Linked DNA regions of Nothobranchius furzeri. The protein of the gene in region 1 binds, or shares a complex with, the protein of each later gene. Links are inferred from orthologs where the notes say so. Each region holds a gene or a part of one and is shown on either strand. Other genes may lie near its edges.

Evidence for each region.
Region 2: the proteins of ube2g2 (region 1) and aup1 are in contact, whole or in part, in a crystal structure (PDB 7LEW), measured with the Homo sapiens proteins. The link is inferred for Nothobranchius furzeri from reciprocal best matches to the Homo sapiens genes UBE2G2 and AUP1. Residues at the interface, in NP_003334.2 of Homo sapiens: Tyr13, Thr17, Pro20, Gly23, Ile24, Val25, Ala26, Gly27, Pro28, Met29, Asn30, Glu31, Glu38, Leu40, Met42, Glu45, Glu50, Phe51, Val53, Pro55, Lys156, Val159, Gln160, Ser162, Leu163, Leu165; in NP_853553.1 of Homo sapiens: Ser379, Arg382, Gln383, Leu386, Arg389, Lys390, Leu393, Tyr394, Tyr396, Ala397, Arg398, Arg400, Phe401, Thr402.

The regions. Positions count from the first base shown.
Region 1 is NC_091747.1:27,337,273-27,341,806, forward strand, and holds the start of ube2g2 (ubiquitin-conjugating enzyme E2 G2), read right to left. Parts: upstream 2,964-4,534; 5' UTR 2,760-2,963; coding exon 2,612-2,759; intron 1-2,611. UniProt on the Homo sapiens protein: Accepts ubiquitin from the E1 complex and catalyzes its covalent attachment to other proteins. In vitro catalyzes 'Lys-48'-linked polyubiquitination. Involved in endoplasmic reticulum-associated degradation (ERAD).
Region 2 is NC_091741.1:29,824,103-29,828,544, forward strand, and holds the start of aup1 (lipid droplet-regulating VLDL assembly factor AUP1), read left to right. Parts: upstream 1-1,632; 5' UTR 1,633-1,862; coding exon 1,863-1,903; intron 1,904-4,442. Other genes in the region: ctsf (cathepsin F), read right to left, coding at 237-485. UniProt on the Homo sapiens protein: Plays a role in the translocation of terminally misfolded proteins from the endoplasmic reticulum lumen to the cytoplasm and their degradation by the proteasome. Plays a role in lipid droplet formation. Induces lipid droplet clustering.

The DNA.
Region 1 (4,534 bases):
GTCCTCAGCATTTGAGGGGATTCCTGCGTTCTACCCAGAAAAGAAAAAAACTTTGTTGCGAGATTGAGACACTCGCTGCCGAAATACAAACGAATCAAACAAGTAGCAGAGGTTATAAACGCGGTCTGGACAGAGGAGAGGTTCCTGTCAGGAATCAATAAAAACTTTAATATGATTAATCATAGAGTAGCGGGTTCTCATTTACATTTTTCATTTAAGGAATCGTTCTGGATGGAGTTAGTTTTATTAGGGAATGTCTGAGTGCAGCCTCTTAGCTATCTTTCAGTGTGGTTTACCGTGACAACACGTGTGTAATTGGGGAGCAGAGGAGGTTCTCGTAGATGTAAAATAGAACATGGACTGGAATCGGACTTGTGCGGTTTATCTGTCGCTCCACAAAGGGCCCCAGATCCCAGCATCGCTCCAGACGGATCTGCTATCAGCGTCTCAAGGAGAAGCGTTTCCTCCAGAGAGGAGCTCTGACAGATCCTTCATAATATTATGGAAACAATCTTTTATCTAACGCATCTCAAGCAGAATCACGAGGCGTTTCACAACAAAAGAAAAAATAAAATAATAAAATAAAATATTACCTAAAAACTATTAAGAACCCCTCCCTGGGCTGCCACCTTACCGTGGTGGAGGGGTTTGAGTGTCCCAGTGATCCTAGGAGCTATGTTGTCTGAGGCTTTATGCCTCTGGTAGGGTCACCCGCAGTAAACAGGTCCTAGGTGAGGGATCAGACAAAGAGCAGCCCATAGACCTCTTATGATGAATACTATAAACGGAAAAAGTGTTCCCTCACCCGGACGCGGGTCACCAGGGCACACCTCTAGAGCCAGGTCTGGAGATGGGGCATGCCGGTGAGCGCCTGGTGGCCGGGCTTTCACCCATGGAGGCTGGTTGATCAAAGAGGAAATGTGGGTCCCCATTCCCATTGGCTCACCACTTGTGGGAGGGGTGAAAGGGGTTGGGTGCAATGTGTGAACGGTGGTGGCTGAAGGCAAGGACCTTGGTGGTTTGATCCTCAGCTACAAAAGCTGGCTCTCGGTACGTGGAATGTCACCTCTCTGGTGGGGGAGGAGCCTGATTTGGTGTGTGAGGTTGAGAGGTTTTGTGCAGATATAGTCGGACTCACCTCAACACATGGCTCTGGCTCAGGAACCAGTTTCCTTGAAAGGGGCTGGACACGCTACCACTCTGGAGTTGCCCCAACTGAGAGGCGCCGAGCAGGGGTGCCTCTGCTTTTTACAGACGGTGTGGTCCTGCTGGCGTCATCAGAAAGTGATCTCCAGCTCTCAATAGAGTAGTTTGCAGCCGACTGTGAAGCAGCTGGGATGAGAATCAGCTCCTCTAAATCTGAGACCATGGTCTTGAGTCAGAAAAGGGTAGAATGCCTTCTCCAGGTCAGGGATGAAGTCCTGCCCCAAGTGGAGGAGTTTGGAGTCTTGTTCACGAGTGAGGGAAAGATGGAGCGCGAGATCGACAGGCAGATTGGTGCTGCGACTGCAGCACTGTGAACGTTGTACCGATCTGTCGTGGTGAAGAGAGAGCTCAGCCAGAAGGCAAAACTCTCAATTAACCGGTCGATCTATGTTCCTACCCTCACCTACGGTCACAAGCTTTGGGTAGTGACTGAAGAATGAGATTGCGGATGCAAGCAGCTGAAAATAGTTTTCTCTGCAGGGTGGCTGGGCTCTCCCTTAGAGATAGGGTGAGAAGTAGTCGAGTGTGGAAAGTGGTCAGTCTGTCCTCCAGCAGTCTAAGCCTATAGCAGCATAACTACAGAGATAACTCTGGATAACCTGGCCTTTTGGATGGAGGCATGTTGGAGGCAGGGCAGGATATGTGCATAAGTATGGTTGATAAATGAGCCCCCTGGACTTTCCAGTCTGTTCCACTTTGGAATTAACTTCCTTTAGGTTCACATCGTATCACCAGTCTGGGCACATTTCACAAGCAGCTGAAGACTCTTATACTATCCAAACTACTTCTTTTTGTGATAAGTGCTGCCTAAATAAAATTCACACATCCCGAGGGTTTGAGGGCCATTCTTATGTGTCCACCTTGTTTTGTGTCAGAGATCAGATGATTCAAAAACTCTACCTTTGCCTTGAGTCTGGGGGATTTGTGCTGTCTGTCACTGAGGCAGGCCCGTATTCAACCGTAATTCACTCATTACCCAGACAGTTCATCCGTAAACTGAATCATCAGTGAGACCTACAGAACCGAACACCTCTACTTCTGAACTGATTCCTTCCGTTTACTCGTGTATTAAACTCCTGACTCTCACACAGCTACCAGGTCCTGGTCCTCATCAGAACGTCAATCCCACTAGAAGCTTTTTCTGGACGAGATTGATAACAGATTAAATAATCTCTCGAGAAATTATACTAGCAGCACGACATATGCCGAGTCACTCAAACTGCCCAGGTGATTTGCTTTTTAACGGACTTCTAGTGTAAGACACCTCATAAAGAAAGTAAAGATTAAAAGAGACCGATTATATCATGGAGTTTGGTGCAGCGGAACTCCACACAGCCGCTTATTAGCCTAGCTGCTAATGCTAATGGCTATCAGTGTTGGTTAGCGATTACAAAACGTTACTCACGTTTATATTCGGCCATGAGCCGCTTCAGCGCAGTGCCCGCCATCGTGTCTGCTAGAGAAAGAAAAAACTTAAACTGGAAATCAAAATTAAACAACTCCGAGCAGCGCCGCCGTATTGGACTCGAAACGCTCAACAGGAGCATGCGCATTGCAGTGGGAGCAGGGGGCCCCAACTGTGACCTGACCGCAGTTTCAGGTCGACTGCAGATTCAGGCTTGTACTGTTTTTGAGAAAGTGAACTCTAACTAGTAACTGCAACTGCAGATTCAAGACTAACTGCAGATTCTTTTCAGTATGTTCTAAAGGGAAACAGGCTTCAACACAAACGGTCGTTTTCCACTTGATCCTAGAGCTCAACCAGTGTTTATTTATTAGAGCGTAATATTGTTTTGGACGGCAAAAAGTGCAGGGGTCAAAACTTGACTTTGGAAAAAGTGGGGGTGGGGGGCATGTCTGAATCTGTGGTCTCTGGGTCTGCAGGTCTGGATACACGTCAGACTTCTCCAAGTACACCTGACTGCATCCCGGAGATCGGGGCGGGGTCAAACGTTTAGAGGTGGGCGGATGACTTCTCCCCACCATGCACCAGGACGCCAGAGAACATAGTGCTGTTCTGTGGTGTCCTGTTACACATCCGGTCCAAGATTTAGTGTGTGTGTGTGTGTGTGTGTGTGTGTGTGTGTGTGTGTGTGTGTGTGTGTGTGTGTGTGTGTGTTACAGGTTTTATTAACTTATTGTCGATACATTCAAAAAATACATTCAATATATCCATGGATCACATTTTACAGTTGTTTACAATTGCAATAACATATATGCAACATTAGGAAACTATTAAACAAAAACACAAGAAATAAACAAAAAACTGACGAAAACATAAATAACTTAACACTTAGGGGTCTGCTGTGTCTAAGTTGAAATGATGAAATAAGTTCATGGTCTTTGTTAGTTTGTTGTTCTTCTTTTTTAATTTTTCAATGCTGTTCCAATATTTCATAATGTCTGCAATTCTGAAATTATAGAAGGAGGGGATACTTTTCTGAAAAATCATTTTATGTAAATAATATTTTGCTAAAATAATGACTAAGTTAATGATGTATTTTTCATTGGATGATAGATGAGGGTTTGTAACAATGAGAAGTATTTCATATTTGCTTAAAGAAATATTTTTTGTAACTTTTTGGAAATGTATCTTTGTAAATGGAACCAAAACAAAGTTACATGAAAGCAATCAACAAAAACATGTTCAATAGTTTCTCCCTTACAACCACAAAAAGTACAGATGTCAGAAAATGTTGGAAAAAAATACAGATGTTTGCTTTTGACGGGTAATATCTATGAACAATTTTGAATAAAACTTCTTTTATCTTATTCACAATAACATATTGGTGAGGTAGCAGAAAGATCCTGTTCCAGAGTTTTGTATTCATCAAAGTCCATCGATGTTTACATATCGGGGTTGAGAAAGGATCAATTACTTTTCTGATAACAGAATTATTACATTTCTTATCTGTGATTGGAATCCCAGCGATAGTTGGAGGTCTGACTGCTGCAGACAAGATAATGTTTGATTGTATGGTCTGTGCTAAAAAGAAAATACAAGCAGGGATGGATTTAATTACCATGTTATACTCTTCTTGTGAAGTATTAATATTATGTTTTTCTAAGAAGTCTTTGTGGGATAATGTTTCGCCAGTAGTATTTAGTAGATTATTCACAGTGTTTACATTATTTAATGACCAATTGTGTAGAAAGAGTGTTTTATTTTTGTTTACAATATATGTATTGTTCCAAATAATACAATTGTGAGGTGAGAAGTTGTGTTTAAAGATAAGATTCCAACATAATAAAGCTTGTTTATGAAAATTACTTCATTTAACTGGGAGTTTTCCTACTGAGAAAGGACATATCAACAGAAAGTTAAGTC
Region 2 (4,442 bases), on another chromosome or scaffold:
TGAGAAACGGTGAGGAGTAATAGGTCCTATTTACATAGATAGGTAAATATAGCGCTTGTAACATGTATGCCTTTATTTTGATATTTCCGGTTTAAGCTTAGCTAAACCTTTGCTAATTACTTGACGCAGATCATTTAAAAACGAGCTGATTCTTACAGTGAAATACGTGCTTTTACATTTATTTGTGTAAGACCATATAAAATATAAATAAACGCAAAAAATACTAAAATATTTACCTGTTTATTGGCGGAGATCAGCCGGCTGACCCTGCGGAGGTGTATAGCGTTGGAGCCATGGTTGTACCGCTCCTCAGCGAAAAGCAGGGCCTTTTTTAATCCCAGGTCGGACTCTTGCAGCCGGATAGGAGTGCCGGGGGGCCCGAACAGAGGCCAGTCTAGGTCTTCACCTAACCCGATCACCGAGCTCAGTACAGAGGCCAACACTAGCCAGGGGATTAGCGGAGAGCAGCGCATCCTGACCCGCATGATGTTTTCTCTTGTGCTGTCAAAAAGAAAAGGGTCCGACGTTCAGTCGGGACTCAGTTTAAAGCGTCTTATTTGTTTTCGTGGAAACAAAATCGTTATTAGTTTAACAGCAGCGGTTACACAAGATGTACGTTTGTTGTCAAACAAACTGGGCTGGATTAGAGGAGGAGTTTAGTGGGAGGGGCTTGTTAGACACGGCTTCCAAGTCTCATCCTCTTCCGGTCACCTCATGGGTCCCTTAAAAACAGAAAAAAAAACTATTTTGCAAACCAGAACAGAATGGTTATTGTAGCGCTAAGTTCGCATTTTCTTTACAGAACCCAAAACAGCTGTTCTGCTGGTGGCAGGATGACAGTCTGCACTCTGCACTTAGCAGGGAAGACGGTTTGCTATTAAATGAAATAGCCAATCGTAAGAGAGCCCTGTTAGCCAATCAGAGGCGAGAAAGGCGGGATCTTCCTTGGACATCCTATGATTCCAAATCACGCTCCCAGCAACGAAGAAGAAAATGAACGCAAATGAACTGGGCTGTAAAAACTATTTTCCGCTTTGCCTTACGCCATGAATCAAACATTTTATTATCATTATACTTCAATCATATGCTACATAAATAAACATAACTGAAATCAAAAGTACTGATGTGTGCTTTGACAGTGTCTGTGAGGTAATTTAAGATTGATTAGCTTGTACAAAAATACATATTTTACAGTACAATACAATAAACTGTAAGTTATTATAATATAATAATTTAATAAGTTATTTTAAGGGAGCAGAAATTATGGAGGAAATCATACTATATGCCATAAAGTGAATTTTAGATTGGATTTAAATGTTTCTGATAATATTGTTTCACTGTCTAAAGTAATCAAATTTTAACACTAGAGAGAGACCATAGACTGTACATATACGAGAGACAAACTAAATGTTTCGGCCCTTATTTTGAAAGCAATAGTGATGACTAGATGCATCTGGCGTTTGGCATTGTTCAACTCAGCCATTAATCACAGAAAAGAGAGGAAAAATAGACGCAGACTGTGATTACTGCTAACATGCTCAAAATGAACGTTTCTCTATATTAGTTAAGAACGTTTCAAGAAATGGCGCTTTTATACTAGAAGGTGCAAACCGGAAGTGTATTTGCACCACAGGAAGAAACATCTGTTGATAACCGTTATGCTAACCTTTTAGGATAGCTTTCATATGCTGCGTGTTATATTTCACAGTTAGTCGAGTCTGTTGGCTAAACAATAACACAAATTAGCTGCTAGTTTACCCCGCGCATGACCAGCGTACTGCCGTAAACGTTATGACTGGTCTGCTTTTTAAAATCAGGCTGTACTCTTAGCATTAGCTTTTACCAAAGTCCGACAGGCAGACATGGAGACGCGGGGGATTGAGGACATGTTTGACTTTCGTCGGTAAGTCAGCCAACAATGGTGGACAAGCGAACGGCTGGCTGCATTGTTGGCGCTGTTACTGATTCTCTTAACTTTAAATTGCTAATGTATTTATGTATGTATATTTTTTGGCTAATTCAATTCAAAAATACTTTATTAATCCCAGAGGGAAATTGATTGATGTAGTTGCTCAGAATAATAATAATCAAGTGATCAAAGAGTTGTTGTATATTACAATGGCTGTTGGCTGTTGGCAGGAAGGATCTCCAGTAGCGGTATACGTTTAGAACATATAACACAACTGTTCTCGAAACAGGAGCTAATTAGGCTGCTGGTGGTAGAGGTTAACGAAACGTGTTGCTAGAAACACGTAGACCTCATTTCACTACACTCAAATGAGATGTGTAATGTTAAGTGCCTATTAAAAGTAATTTTTTATTTTCTCAAACACTCGCATCGGCGCTGTAGTTAGTGTAATTAATAAGTCCCTTTGTTAAGTAAAAAATGCAGTGAAGTATGGTCGCTTAGCTGAATGTGGGTAAAGTTAGCCCCTTAGTGCCTGTTAAATCATTACTGTCAGACAAGTTCATGCCAGTAGTGACAAGTATGGTAAAGTATTGAAAGTGAAAGTTAAAAATATCTCTAACACTGGGTGGTTTCTCATGAGCATTGATTAAAGAGCAAGTCACCCCCAAATGAACTTTTTTTCTGGTAGACTATATAAATGCGTGTCTAATCGTGCTGCAGACACGTAAATAGTTTTTCACTTTAGTGCATTTTAGTTAAAATTTTAATTTTCTGCCTAAAACTGTCAGTGTTGTGCCGTTGTCAGGTAAAAACTCTGCACTGCATTTGAATTTAAATCTGCCATCGATATTGGCTAAGTGGTACCTTAGAATGTTAGCTGGTACCATATGATGTCACAATGTCGTTGTGAGCCTGTGTGTGTATTTGTTAGCGGCTCCACGCTCTCGGTCTGCGAGGCAACAGCATTTGTTGCATTTTTCAAACAGGAAGAGGGAGCGGAGTAATTCTCTGGTAGGGGGTGACTTGCTCTTTAAGTGGGATTGTAAACATTTAAAAGATTTGTAAAGGACGCACAAACATGTTTTTGTTTCTGTAGACGCAGTACAGACTAGCCAACACTGTAAAACATTTTAAACCCTTCTACTTTGTTTCTGTCACGCATTTCAGTTTCGTTATTTTTTCTATCAAACACTGCATTAAAATTCTAGTGCTCTCACCGGCTCACTTCCTTAGTTCCACCTTGCTAGGGCTGGGTTCAACCCCTTTGCCTCCAGAACTGCCTAAATTCTGTGTGCCATTAAATAAACGAGTTGTTGGAACATTCCTCAGAGGTTCTGGTCCGTATTGACATGATGACATCATCATGATGATGATCTCCAGTTCCACCACATCCCAACAGTACTCATTTAGGCTGTGGTGTTTAAACCAGGCCCAGGTGGGATTAATGTAGTTTTCACACCTGGGTTGGCCCTGTCAAGAAGGTCCCGGCTGTTGACTGCAGGGACTAGTATTGGGCAGAGGTGGACATCCAAGGGTACTTGGCCCAGTCTGGTCTTGGTAGCATCAGCCCAGTCACAATCGGCCTTGTTGAGAATGTAGAAATCTCTGAGCACACGGGAGGGGCAAAAGACATGTGGAGAAGTCTGTGGTGTCCCTTCATAAGTAAACAAAGGTGGCCGTGAGCAGTGTTGCTTTTGGAGACTCTGATGTTGCTTCCTGATCTCTCTAGCCATTTTTGCAAAACAATGCCGAATTTTTAAAATGCACGTGAACGCGTTAGTCGGGCTGAAGGTGAGCTGGTTCTTATCGAGCTGAAGAACCCAGATGATGCAGTAGCAATCAGATTACATTCTGCATGTAAATGGTTCAGCCGAAATAAACCGGTAGAACGCTCGCGATTCGGAAGTGACAAGATCGCGAAAGCGGAAGTTCTGACAAGACCATCATTACAAAGCAGCACCTGTAACACCATGAAACAGGACAGTACGTACCAAATAAGCTGTGCTGCAGCGTTATTGTTGTGCATTCCTTCAGCCATTGTGCACATCCTGTTTCAATTCCATCTGCTTCACTCCCGCCAGCCTCTGTTTACTACTTGTGTTGCTATAAGCTAACCGGAAAAATGCTGACATGAAAAGTGGCATGTCGCCACCTACTGTACCAGAGTGGAACCAACTTTATTTGAGAGGCCGTTTTTGTAATGCGCATGTAAACTAGGATAAAGACTCCCAGCGTATTAAAATAAGATCGATCTGGATCGACTTAGATGTCAGTCAGTGTGCATTTAAGTGTGCTGACTGAGACTGCGAGTGATTGTGCTCTTCAAAGAAGTCTGTCCTCGCACTGGAGCAGCAGCTCTTAGCTGCAGTCAGAAAAATGCTTACTCCCCAGCATTTGGTGTGATAAGGAGCCCACCAATCGGAGGCTCCCTGTAAACATAGGCACGAATTTCAGCCAGCCAGTCAGTCAGCAGTGGGTGTGTTGGGTCAGTTCAGTCCAAAGCATACCGCCAGGCAAGGAGGTCTGAAAAAAT